Macaca fascicularis: one gene and its partner. The protein of the gene in region 2 interacts with the protein of the main gene of each other region in a pairwise test. Links are inferred from orthologs where the notes say so. Each region holds a gene or a part of one and is shown on either strand. Other genes may lie near its edges.

Region 1 (7,467 bases), on a different chromosome or scaffold from region 2:
TTAGGAAACTGAAGCTCATTGACACTAAGTAATTCATCCAGTGTCACACATCCAATCCCTGACAGAGTCATGATGTGAACCTGTATTTAGAGAATATTTAAGACAGGAGGCAAGATAAGACAAAAGTTACCTGAAAACTTTGAAAAGTTTCGAACTGGCATAATGCGCTGGCGAATTTTCCCCTTGACTTCACTCTCATAGATTAAGACAATAGCTGGAGGCTGAACCCTAATCCCACATTTCTTGGCAGTGCACATCATTCCCACGTACATGTCAGGGTAAGTCAGAGGAAATCTGATGGAAATGTGTAAGTTGCATAATGACTTCCTGCTACAGGGAAAAAACAACTAGGTGTTGGATAAATGTCATTCATTCCCCTCGCCCCTTTGCCCCAGAAGATCCGATTCTAGTCTAGCTCTGGCCACAGATGCTCAGCCTGTGAAGCTCAATATTTTTTAAAAATTAAAATGTAGAATCTTCATGAATTTGTGTGTCATCCTTGCGCAGGGGCCATGCTAATCTTCTCTGTATCATCCCAATTGTGGTGTATGTGTGCTGAAGCGACCACAAAGAGAGCTTCCTATTTTGAGAGCTGCCCTGAAGGTTCAGTTTGGTCCTGGGTTAGTTTCAATTTGTTGGATCCCTAAGGCTCTCTGGTGTTCTCAAGGATATAGACTTGTTCATATGTGAATCTGGGGATGCAATCCAGTGTGAACCTCTTAGTGTACTGCACTCTTACTGAAGATTGAATATGAACCCCTAAGTCAGTCCAATAGCTGACCTATAGGGTCTTTACTATTTATCAATTAAAAAAGGGCATATCAAGCATCCTCGGTATCAAGGTACTATGAGTTTTTTAACCTTAATCATTTTGTCCTGAGAGGTTCACCAGTCCAGAGCTGTCTCCTTTGTACTTTCCCAATTTACTAGAGTTTTTCGTTATTATTTATTTAATCATCTATCTTCCCTTCTAGTCAATATGGTATATGAGGGTGGGGGCATATTCATTTTTCACCACAATATCTCAGCATAATACCTGGAAAGTAGTAGGCATTCCATACATTGTTTAATGCTATGAATTAAAATGATGGTACCTGTACATTTTCGTAAGCACTTACAGTCTAGAAGCCTGATCAAAAAGCAGACCTGATACAGAATCATCTTCTTCATATACAAGTCAGTAACATCTGCACGGCTTTTATTTTGGCCTACGTGTCTCACTATATGATATTCTTCTAGCTACAAGAAGCACAGCTATTAATAGATGAATACTTACTATTCTCCCTTCCTTTCCCCACCCTCAATGCCCAAATAATACACTTAATCTCCTAAGCAGTGCTTTAGATGTGACTATGACATTCTCAGAAAGATTTGTAAATGTTAAGAAACATTGAGGTAAAGTGGCATAGGGTATGATATTTTCGTGAACTCAGTTCTGCTGAAGAATCACTATTAGGAACATACTTTTAATAAAATACTTAGCAGTGATTATACACCTTCATTGTAGAATACTGGGGGCAAAGGAGAGGGGAAACATATAGAAAATAATCACCCTTAATTGTGTCCAGTCTTTTTTCTAGGCATATAGTTTAAGTATGTTTCACACATGGTCGTACAAGCTATTTCCTGAAGTTCAAATTTAACAACATATGTTATTATTTTGTCATTAAATGTTTTACTACAATGTAACATTTTATACGACTGCTAAGTATTGTATTTTATGGATGTACTAAAATCATATTATTCACACTTATTGTTGGACATGAGAATTTTTACTCTTAGAAAATTAATCACGTATAAGCCCAGGCACAGTGGCTCACCCCAGTCAGCACTTTGGGAGGCTGAGGTGGGCAGATCACTTGAGGTCAGGAGTTCAAGACCAGCCTGGCCAACATGGTGACACCACGTCCCTACTAAACATCCAAAAATTAGCTGGGCATAGTGGCAGGTGCCTGTAATCCCAGCCACTTGAGAGGCCGAGGCAGGAGACTCACTTGAACCTGGGAGGTGGAGGTCACAGTGAGCCGAGACGGTACCACTGCATTCCAGCCTGGGTGACAGAGCAAGATTCCATCTCAAAAAGATGGAGGCAGCCATGGTGGCTCAGGCCTGTAATCCCAACACTTTGGGAGGCCAAGGAGGGAAGATCCCTTGAGGCCAGGAGTTTGAGACCAGCCTGGGCAACACAGTGAGCCCATGACCATGTCTCTACAAAAAATTTAAAAATTGGCCAGGCATGGCAGCATGCACCTGTAGTCCCAGATACTCCAAAGGCCACGGTGGGAGAATCGCTTGAACCCAGGAGTTTGAGGCTGCAGTGAGTTGAGATGGTGCCACTGCACAACAGCCTCTCCAAAGCGTGATAAGCCTATTCTTTAAAAAAAAAAAAACTTTAGCCGGGCGCGGTGGCTCAAGCCTGTAATCCCAGCACTTTGGGAGGCCGAGGCGGGTGGATCACGAGGTCAGGAGATCGAGACTATCCTGGCTAACATGGTGAAACCCCGTCTCTACTAAAAATACAAAAAACTAGCCGGGCGTGGTGGCGGGCGCCTGTAGTCTCAGCTACTTGGGAGGCTGAGGCGGGAGAATGGCGGGAACCCGGGAGGCGGAGCTTGCAGTGAGCCGAGATCACGCCACTGCACTCCAGCCTGGGAGACACAGCGAGACTCCGTCTCAAAAAAAAAAAAAAAAAAAAAAACTTTAAAAAATTACTGTGCTCTACCTCTAATCTGATGCAATGATCCCACACCATTTTCTCCTTCTTTTCCTTCTCTTTTCCTTTTTTTTTTTTTTTTTTTTTGAGACGGAGTCTCGCTCTGTCGCCCAGGCTGGAGTGCAGTGGCGCGATCTCGGCTCACTGCAAGCTCCGCCTCCCGGGTTCACGCCATTCTCCTGCCTCAGCCTCCCGAGTAGCTGGGACTACAGGCTCCCGCCACCGCGCCCGGCTAGTTTTTTGTATTTTTAGTAGAGACGGGGTTTCACCGTGGTCTCGATCTCCTGACCTTGTGATCCGCCCGCCTCGGCCTCCCAAAGTGCTGGGATTACAGGCGTGAGCCACCGCGCCCAGCTTTTTTTTGTTTTTCAACGAATACTACTCCCAATTCACCTAACTAAAATTTGATGTTAGTAAACTAGAACCTACTGGGCACAATATAAACTACACACACTGACGCAGTGGCTGTACTCCTCAAAGATGTATGCAGTTGGTGCTCAAATAATGTAGTTTTTTTTACTAGACTCTTTTTAAAATTTAACTTTAATTTTTGTTGAAGTAATGTTTGTATTTGGAATATAAAATAATTCTATAAGGCTTATAACAACAAACTATAGTCCTTGGCCCTACTCCTCTTCATACGGAGCCGGATTGAATTTTAAAAAGCATGCCTTCCAAAATTTCTCTCTCCATTTCTTAAGAAACATGCTTATACTACCATTTTCAGTTTTTATTTTTTTGAAACAAGTCTCGCTCTGTCGCCCAGGCTGCAGTGCAGTGGTGTGATCTCGGCTCACTGCAACCTCCACCTCCCGGGTTCAAGCGATTCTCGTGCCTCAGCCTCCCAAGTAGCTGGAATTACAGGTGCCTACCACCACGCCCAGCTAATTGTATTTTCAGTAGCGACGGGGTTTCGCCATGTTGGCCAGGCTAGTCTCGAACTCCTGACCTCAGGTGATTCGCCCAAAGTGCTGGGACTATAGGCGTGAGCCACCTTGCCCGGCTATTTTCAGTTTTGGATAGTATCTTTTGACATACATTGTTTCCCCTTTGAGACACCAGCTCTAGAGCCCTCTATTCCACTCCAAGCCGCCTGTGCTCTCTTGGCCTGCTTACAGATTACACTCTGTTCAGGAAGAAGGAGGCCACGTTTATACAATTATTCTTCCTGGACACGAATACTCCTCTCTCCAGAGATCAGGAACTGCCTACAATCTTGTTAGGAAGCCCCACAGCACCTAAGGGTACGGATGTCGCCAAACGGTAGACGATTCTTTCCCTACTCACGTCTCCACTAGTGCAAGGCTGGCTTTCTTACCCTTAGAGAAATACAGAAATGACATCTTCTGCAGGCCAACGTCTAAACACCCAGGCGTGGGTTTTTCCACCCAACCGCAGCGCACGGAAAGCACCTAAGCCGACTTTGAGGCCGGGCGGAGCCTGGCGCTGCAGGAAGAGGCCACAGCCACAGCCCTACTGACGAGCCCGAGGGGTGAACTCCCCGGCCGGAGGCCCGAACCCTCAAACACCGGGAAGCGGAGGTGGGGCCGGCCGGGGGCACGGTCCACCGGCTCCCACCTCGGCGTGCAGGGATTCTGGGGGGCGCTGGCCGAGCCGTTTCCACAGCAACAGGCCGGGCGCGCGTCCCCGCGCGTGCGCAGCTCCTCGCCCGCCCCCGGGTGGGCGGAGAGGGGAACGGCGGGGCCGGGACGGCCGCCTCACGCCGCGCGGGAACCTGTGGGGGCCGGGGCTACAGGCCGCGGGGAACCGCGGGCGCCAGGGGCGCACCCAGCCCTCTGTCCCGGCCGGTAAATCTGGGGCAGCGCGCCGTAGGAGCTGCGGGCAGCCAGGCCCCTTCCTGCGTCCGCACCTGGCCCCGCGCGCCCCTCTCGGGCGTCCGGCCTCCGGCGTCCTGGCGGTTCGGGTGGCGGCGGTTCGGGCGGTCGCCTGGCTGCTCCTCGGGGCGGCGACCGGGCTCACGCGCGGGTCCCCCGCGGTCCTCGGCGCCGCGCGCTCTGACGCGGGTAAGGGGCGGGGCTGCGGAATGCGGGCGGGGCTTGGGGGCCGGAGCGTGGGGAGCGGTCGCGGCTCCCCGGCCTCTCCGCCGGTTACGGGGATGTGGGGACCCGGCGCGGGACTTAGATCAGCAGGGCCAGCCGGAGGAGGTCAAACGCTAGAGCCGCGTGCCCTCCTCCCGCCCCCGGCGCTCCCGTGCGCTTTGCTCTGCGGCGGATCCCGGGTCTCCGGAGAGTGGGGCTCGGGCCCTGCGGTTCCCAGGCTGGACTGGCCGCCCTGTCACTAAGGTCCTGAGAAGGAAAGTCAGCCGTCAGGCGTCTTGGGACGCTCTTGGGTTGCACGAAGCTTCTGATCACCAAGGGGCCAGCAAGGCCTTAGCGCCCTGTGAGGCCTGAGAATGCCTAAACCGAATATAGGACTGCGTGCAAACTGCTAGTTGTTCGTGCAAGTAGTAGTTGGCAAACTGCTTGTACTACTGAGGCAGGCAAGCGCGGGAATAGTTACAATAAAGTGGTAAGGTTTGACGGGAGGAAAGCACAAACCCGGCAAGTTTCTCCATCTGTAAAATGAGGATGTTTCTGTCATCCTTGGTACCATTTAGATCCATTTAGTATGTGTCAATCAGTGCATTTCTGCTTGTGTGTTTACATACTGGGTTTTCAAGTTTATCTAAACAAAGGATTATGAGGCCAACAATTTCTTTTTTTTTTTTTTTTGAGATGGAGTCTCACTTGCCCAGGCTGGAGTGCAATGGCGCGATCTCGGCTCACTGCAACCTCCGCCTCCCAAGTTCAAGCAATTCTTCTGCCTCAACCTCGCAAGTAGCTGGGATTATTACAGGCGCCCGCCACCATGCCCAGCTAATTTTTTGTATTTTAGTAGAGACGGGGTTTTGCCATATTGGTCAGGCTGGTCTTGAACTCCTGACCTCAGGTGGTCCACCCTCCTCAGCCTCCCAAAGTGCCGGGATTACAGGCGTGAACCACCATGCCCGGCCAGAAGAATTTTTAAACAGTTGGATTTGGTCATCTCTAGAGGCTTCCAGCATTGGCATTTTATAATTAAAAAGGGGTCAAAATTAGCCGGGCCTGATGGCGTGGGCCTGTAATCCCAGCTACTCGGGAGGCTAAGGCAGGAGAATCGCTTGAACTAGGGAGGCCAAGGTTGCAGTGAGCTGAGATCGCGCCGTTGCACTCCAGTCTGGGTGACAGAAGGAGACTCTGTCTCAAAAAGAAAAAAAGTAAAAAGGAGTCAATTGGCCGGGTGCGGTGGCTCAAGCCTGTAATCCCAGCACTTTGGGAGGCCGAGACGGGTGGATCACGAGGTCAGGAGATCGAGACCATCCTGGCTAACACGGTGAAACCCCATCTCTACTAAAAAATACAAAAAACTAGCCGGGCGAGGCGGCGGGCGCCTGTAGTCCCAGCTACTCGGGAGGCTGAGGCAGGAGAATGGCGTGAACCCGGGAGAAGGAGCTTGCAGTGAGCTGAGATTGGGCCACTGCACTCCAGCCTGGGCCACAGAGTGAGACTCCGTCTCAAAAAAAAAAAAAAAAAAAAAAAAGGAGTCAATTTCCAGAGCCAGTTCACCACAACCAAAGTAATATTTAAGAGGAAAAATGTTGAAGGTAAATTCATATCCAACAAATTCTTTTTAAAAGTGGTACTTTTGCCTTTAAAGTCATAATATTATAGTATTTGCTATACTATTTGTAAATTAGCCTTTCTCCGGTCCCAGTGATCAACTGCTGTCTGGTGTACATACCGATAGAATTTAAACCTGTTAATAATTTTTCTTCTAATTTAATTTATAGTTGGATAGTAGCCCTCACTTCCCACCCTACCCCTGTTAAAATTAAACATGATGAAGAAAAATCTGGATTTGTGCTGGGTACAGCGACTCACACCTGAAATTCTAACACATTGGGAGGCTGAGGTGGGAGGATTGCTTGAGGCCAAGAGTTCAAGACCAGCCTGGAAAACATAGCAAGACCTTGTCTCTACAAAAAAATGTAAAACTAGCCAGGTGTGGTGGCGTGGGCCTGTAATCCTAGCTACTTGGGAGGCTGACGTAGGAGGATTGCTTGAGCCCAGAGGTTCAAGGCTGCAGTGAGCTGTGATCATGCCACTGCACTCCAGCTTGTGTGACAGAGTAAGGCCCTGTCTCTCTTTTTTTTTTTTTTTTTGAGACGGAGTCTCGCTCTGTCGCCAGGCTGGAGTGCGGTGGCGTGATATCGGCTCATTACAACCTCCACCTCCCAGGTTCACGCGATTCTTCTGCCTCAGCCTTCCAAGTAGCTGGGACTACAGGTGCACACCACCACACCTGGCTAATTTTTTGTATTTTGGTAAAGACAGAGTTTCACCATGTTGGCCAGCATGGTCTCAAACTCTTGACCTTGTGATCTGTCCGCCTCGCCCTCCCAGAGTGCTGGGATTGCAGGCATAAGTCACGACGCCTGGGCTTTTTGTTCTTTTTTTTAAGAGGTAGAGCCTTGGCTGGGTGCTGTTGCCCACGCCTGTAATCCTGGCATTTGGGAGGCCGAGGCGGGCAGATAACCAGGTCAAGAGATCGAGACCAGCCTGGCTAACACGGTGAAACCCCATCTCTACTAAAAATACAAGAATTAGCTGGGCGTGATGGTGGGTGCCCGTAGTCCCAGCTACTCCGGAGGCTGAGGCAGGAGAATCACTTGAACCCGGGAGGCAGAGGTTACAGTGAGCCGAGATCGTGCCACT
Region 2 (6,996 bases):
ATGGGAGGCTCAGGCAGGAGAATCGCTTGAACCAGGGAGGTGGAGGCTGCAGTGAGCCAAAATCACACCACTGCACTGCAGCCTGGGCAACAAAGACTCTGTCTCAAACACAAAAACAAAAAAACCAAAAAACAGAAAACCTATTTATCTAATATATTGTGACTATCTTTACATACCAATAGACATACTGACAATATGATTTTTAAGGCTGTACAGGAGTACATTGCATGAATGTATCAGTTTATTTAATTAATCCCCTTTGCTTACTATTTGAATTGCTTCTAGCTTTTTGCCATTAAAAAGAGAACTGCAATGAACAGCATTAGAGCATAATGTCTGAGTACATGTAATTATTTTCTGAGGCTAAACTCCTAGAAGTGGAATGGCTGGCTCAAGAGGCATTCATATTTTTCGGGCTTTTGTTATGCAGTTAAATTGCCTACCAGACGACTTTATTAATTTACATTCTAACATGATGAATGGGCCCATCTTCTGGTAGCCTCACTATCATGAAATATTACATGATTATTTTTCTCTTAGAACTATTGTTATATGTTAATTCTATAACCTGCCATTTTCTAAATAATAACTCTAGAGTTTTCCAGTTGATTTTTCTCACATCCAGGCATTTTTATGTTAACTGTAAATGGGCGTGGCACAATGGCTCACATCTGTAATCCCAAGCACTTTGGGAGGCCAAAGCGGGAAGACTGCTTGAGTCTAGGAGTTCAAGACCACCCTGGGCAACACAGCAAAACCCAATCTCTACAAAAAATACAAAAATTAGCCGGGCATGGTGGTGCATGCCTATAGTCCCAGCTACTCAGGAGGCTGAGGCTGAAGATGGCTTGAGTCTGGAGGTGAAGGATGCAACGGGCCGAGATCATGCCACTGCACTCCAGCCTGGGTAACAGAGGGAGACCCTGTCTCAAAATAATAAGTTAACTATAAATGAAAAGACAGAGGCCGGGCGCGGTGGCCCACGCCTGTAATCCCAACACTTTGGGAGGCAGAGGCAGGCAGATCATCTGAGGTTGGGAGTTCGAGACCAGCCTGACCAACATGCAGAAACCCCATCTCTAATAAAAATACAAAAAAAATTAACCAGGCGTGGTGGCGCATGCCTGTAATCCCAGCTACTCGGGAGGCTGAGGCAGGAGAATCGCTTGAACCCAGGAGGTGGAGGTTGCAGTGAGCCAAGATTGTGCCACTGCACTCTAGCCTAGGCAACAAGAGCAAAACTCCGTCTTGAAAAAAAAAAAAAGAGTGAAAAATTATTTCAAAAACTGTCCACCCCAAGAAAGGAAATCACGGTATACAATAAGTTTACGTTTACTTTTAATAACAATAAAAATGTCTTCCTGCTAACCATCATAAGATGTGTCTACTAATGAAGAATGAAAGGGTAGTTCTAATGCAAATAGTAAAAATATAAGTGTAAAATATAGTAAATAGAAGTAGAATGAGAAAATTATTCTGCTAAAAAGTAACAGACTGTCACGGAGAAGAAACAGAACGTCCTATGTCTCATCTTATTTCTGAAGATGTCTGTAGCTGTGTACTTACAACAAAGGTCTGCGTTCTTGTCCAAATTCCGCTTCATAGTAGCCGTCTCTGCAGTCTTTTCCAACTAAATCATGAGGATGAGGTTTATATGGGTCATTCTTTGTTACTAATGTAATTCTCACTTTTCCTTTTCCATAATAGTTCATAATCTGAAAAAAGGGGGAAATTAAATATATGATCCAAATAGATCGCATTAGAAACTGATCTACTAAATGAGAGTTCAATTTACATTAATTATAATGTAATTGGCACTAAATAAATAAAGTCCAACTGACAAACAACTGCACTTTAGATGAAACTTTCCAGAGAATACCAGTATAGAAGAACTTACCTCTCAGCTTCTTGACATATTTTCTGCCCTAATTTCATTTGGTCATATCATTTGACTCTGCTTAATTTTCCTTTTAAAACAAGTAAAACTCTACCCAAATTTTATCATAGAACATGAGAAAACAGATGTTAAGTCACTAAATGCCCAGCTCTTAAATGTACTGTCATACCATAAACATTCCTTGAATATATATTTAAGCCATATTGGAAAGGATAGCACATAAATATGATCATTTTACTTAATATGTGACATTTCATTTCACAAAAATATTTTTTCAGTAAGCATACCCCAACTGCACTCTAGAATAGGCAATAAATCAAATTGAGTTTAACAACATCAAATTTCACATAGAAAGTACATCTTAGAACACAGAGTAAAAAGGAGAGTTTAACATGGAAGAGGAATGAGGACAGGAAATAATGCTTAGTTTGAAAGCTAGTAAATTTGCAAGAACAAAGCGGGGAATATAAAAACCAGCATACCACAAAGGAGCAAGGTAAAGTAAGAATGGCTAGCTTACGAGGTAGAGGAAACTAAAATCCATAATTTTGAATTAGAATTTGAAAGTAACCAGGAAGTATTACATTTCTTTCTGTATGAAAGTAAAGGTAATTGCTCAAGACTATAAGTAGGCAAATACACAACTCAAGCTGTAAAGTGTTTAGGACCTACTGGAATAGTAAAAATACAGATCTTAGAAATATTTTAGAGATGCATAGGATAAGACGAATTATGAAGAAAACTTTAAAAATGACTCAAAAAACTGGCCAAAGAGTATTTCCTTAGTTCCTTTTTTTTAAATTTTTTTTTTTCTGGAGACGGAGTCTCGCTCTGTCGCCCAGGCTGGAATGCAGTGGCCGGATCTCGGCTCACTGCAAGCTCCGCCTCCCGGGTTCACGCCATTCTCCTGCCTCAGCCTCCCGAGTAGCTGGGACTACAGGCGCCCGCCACCTCGCCCGGCTAGTTTTTTGTATTTTTTAGTAGAGACGGGGTTTCACTGTGTTAGCCAGGATGGTCTCGATCTCCTGACCTCGTGATCCACCCGCCTCGGCCTCCCAAAGTGCTGGGATTACAGGCTTGAGCCACCGCGCCCGGCTCCTTAGTTCCTTTTTATTAGCATCTCACCCATTTTAACATTTAAAAGACTTAGATAACCCAAATCCATACTACTGCCAAAAATGTGATAAAAATAGAAATCTGGAATTCAATATATAATTTTGCCACTGATTTATTCTATAACTTAGCAATTCCCTTTAAGTTCATCAACAGAATAGACTTTGTAAATAATCTAGTTATAAAACAATGAATTAAGATCTGTTGATAAAAGTAACACTTTTCAAATAAAAAAAAAAAGTAACACTTCAAAATCTACTTTACCATTCAAGTTTTTAATTGGCATTTAAAGGATAAACCCTTCACTGAAACTCAAATGAAAAACAGTTTACAAATAGAAAATATAAATTTAGTACATTGGGCTGGGTGCAGTGGCTCACGCCTGTAATCCCAGCACTTTGGGAGACCGAGGCGAGCGGATCATGAGGTCAGGAGATTGAGACCATCCTGGCTAACACGGTGAAACCCCGTCTCTACTAAAAATACAAAAATTAGCTGGGTGTGGTGGCACACGCCTGTAGTCCCAGCTACTCAGAAGGCTGAGACAGGAGAATCACTTGAACCTGGGAGGCGGAGGTTGCAGTGAGCCAAGATCATGCCATTGCCCTCCAGCCTGGGCGACAGAGTGAAACTCTGTCTCAAAAAAATAAAAAATAGGCCGGGCGTGGTGGCTCACACCTGTAATCCCAGCACTTTGGGAGGCTGAGGTGGGTGGATCACGAGGTCAGGAGATCAAGACCATCCTATCCTGGCTAACATGGTGAAACCCCATTTCTACTAAAAATGCAAAAAAATTAGCCAGGCACCAGTGGTGGTGGGCACCTGTAGTCCCAGCTACTCGGGAGGCTGAGGCAGGAGAATGGCGTGAACCCGGGAGGTGGAGCTTGCAGTGAGCAGAGATTGTGACACTGCACTACAGCCTGGGCAAAAGAGTGAGACTCCGTCTCAAAAAAAAATAAATAAATATATAATAAGTAAATAAATTTAGTACATCTTGGCTGTGCGCGGTGGCTCATGCCTGTAATCCCAACGCTTTGGGAGGCCGAGACAGGTGGATCACCTGAGGTCAGGAGTTCGAGATCAGCCTGGCCAACATGGTGAAACCTTGCCTCTACTAAAAAATACAAAAATCAGCTGGGCGTGGTGGTGGGCACCTGTAATCCCAGCTACTCGGTAGGCTGAGGCAGGAGAATCACTTGAACCCAGGAGGTGGAGGTTGCAGTGAGCCAAGATTGTGACATTGCACTCCAGCCTGGGAAACAAGCACGAAACTCCATTTCAAAAATAAATAAATAAATTTAGTACATCTTATAACTATTAGTATGTTTACCAAAGTCATTTTTAGTCAAAAGCTTTTAAAAATTTATGCTAATGTGAGAAAACTACATTTATAAAGTGGTATTTCAAATCAGTCAATGACCCAGAGAATCAGAGACAAGCAACAAAGGTAAGAAAAAGGACAAAAAAATGTTCTAGCCCTAAGACTAGCCAAGAAGAATTATGATTGAGTTATCAAACCTATGTTTAATCTACAGAAGAGTATCACCCACCTCTGTAGAGAATGGGTTTTCCTTATTATCTTTGTGTTCCATGAAAAAGAACATGATCCAAAAGCTGCCAACTATCCCCACTGCAGATAGCTATATGGTGCTGTGTATTAACCTAAGTAGAGCGACTAAACATTATGAGGAAAAGGAAAAAGAAAAAGAAAAAGAAAAAGAAAAAAGGAAAAAAGAAAAAGACAAAACTGTGGAGATGATTGTTAAGAAACTGTCCCTTTAAAATAATTGCTATAGCTAATATATGAAGCAACTAATAGCGAGATAGACATAGAAGAAGGGTCTATTACCTGGATAGAAGGGTATGTTCGGTTGTTGTCTGTGCTGTGCTCCCCTGGAATGCTGCCCGCTGATCGCCCTTCACATTTGTATCTAAAACGCATTCCCCTCTGCCTGGGTTGTTCAATTATCTCTATATACGGGTTATACGCACCTGAAAAGTTTTTTAAAAGGAGGAGGTGAGTGAGATTAATATAGCAATTAATAATGGATTTTAACACGTCTGTTTTTTCATAACAGCAGACTAAAATAAAGATTTTTTTTTCCTCCTAACATTAAATAACAAGGTTGAAATGTTATCTTGGAGATTGGCTGGGAGAGGCACCTTTTTTTCCCATTCAGATTGAGTCCCTATGTAGTGTCAAAACAAGTCATTCAAACCATATTGATTGGTTAGCACTTTATAGCTTAATATCTATAGCTAACATCAATATGAACTTCTGAGATAACCACTTCAGAGATATCCACCTCCCACGTGAGACCTAGCAGAAGGGTTTCCCCCAAGATTCCCCAAGAAGGGTAAAGAAGATAGTACTCAGAAGTAAAATATTACACTCCTAAAGTGAGTTAAATGTATTTAACTGCTTGATTTTACATCATATTCATAATACTGAATGAAAAGACCATTCACTGAAAATGAAAATGCATTTAAATCCCTGCAGAAGCATATGTAAGTTTTTTCTATCTCCATTCAAATGTTAAAGGACTTACACATAGTATATCAAAACAAGCCCCAGGAGGGACTTTAGGCTCAAAGAATGTGTCACCAGTCCCATGTAAACCTTTTCTAAAGATACAACAGAGAAAAAAAATTATTTACTTTCTATAATAACTAAAATTCAAAATAAGCATCTGCAGAATGAATTGCTGATACATATAATAACATGATGACTCTCAAAATCATTATGCTGAGTGAAAGAAGTTAGACCAGAAGAGCACATACTGCATGATTCCATTTATATGAAACTCTAGGATATGTAAAGTAACATACAATGAACAATAGCAGATCACTGGTTGCCTAAGAACAAGAATATATGGTGGATAGGAAAGGCAGGGGGGACAATGGACATGTTAATTATCTTGTGATGATGATTCCAAGGTTGTATAGGTATGTCAAAAATTATCAAATTGCATACTTTAAAAGTGCAGTTTGTTGTACATAAATTATATGTCAATATGTCAATAAAGTTATTTAAAATATATGTAACTTTACTATTTTTTATTATCCAAATTGTGGGGGAAAAGGTAAATAGACACTCAACTGTACTTGCAAGTAGGGGAGTTAATAGAGGTGTGAAGATGTTTTCCATTAAAAAAAAAAAAAAGGGTCCCTTAATCAGTTTAGTGCCGACTAAGGCTTCTCCTGTTAGAATGCAAGCAATCCTGAGAAATGGTAACACAGTGGGCCTTATCAGAACAGTATGAAGAAGAGGCCTCTGGAATCCTACCCCATCTACTTCCTAACAGTAAGACCACAGAAAAGTTATTAAAATTAAAATCTCTTAGTTTCCGCCTCTGTAAAATAGGAATAATCATAATAGCACCTACCTCATTGGGTTGTTGTGAAGATTACAGATTATACGTGCTAAATTCTTACCAAGTGTCATATATACATATATGTTCAATAAATGGTGTCTATTATTTCAGATGCTTTCTTGATAACAATGATTTAGTGATACCATGGTGGCATCACAACTGTCACTCTAAAGGACCTTACAGAAGAGCAAGGCGAACAACACATATTATTAGACTACAGAAGGAAGGAAAGCACTAACAAAATTTTGTGGAAATAAGAGCGGAAGAGTCAGGAACGCCCAACTGTGTCAGTGGAAAAAGAGCGGTTAATGAAGCAAAAGAGTGGGGGAAATAAAGAGGAAAAAGTTAGGTATTCTAGGGAAAGGGGAACAATGTGTCCACAGAGGAGGGTTTATTTAAGAATCACCAATGTTTGTAAGTGGAATACACTTCCTCTCTTAGAAAGAGAACTAAAAGTCAGAGCACACTTGGCAATGTGGATTTCATTTTATGTGTGATGAAATCAATGAATAATTTGATGCAGGCAAATCACATGATCATATTTACGTTTTAGAGTAAAAATTTTAAGCGGGGCACAGTGGCTCACGCCTGTAATCCCAGCACTTTGGGAGG

What was found. The genes of interacting proteins can lie anywhere in the genome.
Region 1: the proteins of REL (region 2) and CEP19 interact in binary tests that used the Homo sapiens proteins (3 or more experiments, as listed by UniProt). The two-hybrid records come from large-scale screens. The link is inferred for Macaca fascicularis from reciprocal best matches to the Homo sapiens genes REL and CEP19.

The regions. Positions count from the first base shown.
Region 1 is NC_088376.1:2,118,205-2,125,671, forward strand, and holds the start of CEP19 (centrosomal protein of 19 kDa), read right to left. Parts: upstream 4,731-7,467; 5' UTR 4,584-4,730; exon of another isoform or gene 4,057-4,583; coding exon of another isoform or gene 4,032-4,056; intron 569-4,031; exon of another isoform or gene 463-568; intron 331-462; exon of another isoform or gene 328-330; 5' UTR 273-327; coding exon 131-272; intron 1-130. UniProt on the Homo sapiens protein: Required for ciliation. Recruits the RABL2B GTPase to the ciliary base to initiate ciliation.
Region 2 is NC_088387.1:61,076,652-61,083,647, forward strand, and holds part of REL (proto-oncogene c-Rel), read right to left. Parts: intron 5,003-6,996; coding exon 4,860-5,002; intron 1,716-4,859; coding exon 1,567-1,715; intron 1-1,566. UniProt on the Homo sapiens protein: Proto-oncogene that may play a role in differentiation and lymphopoiesis.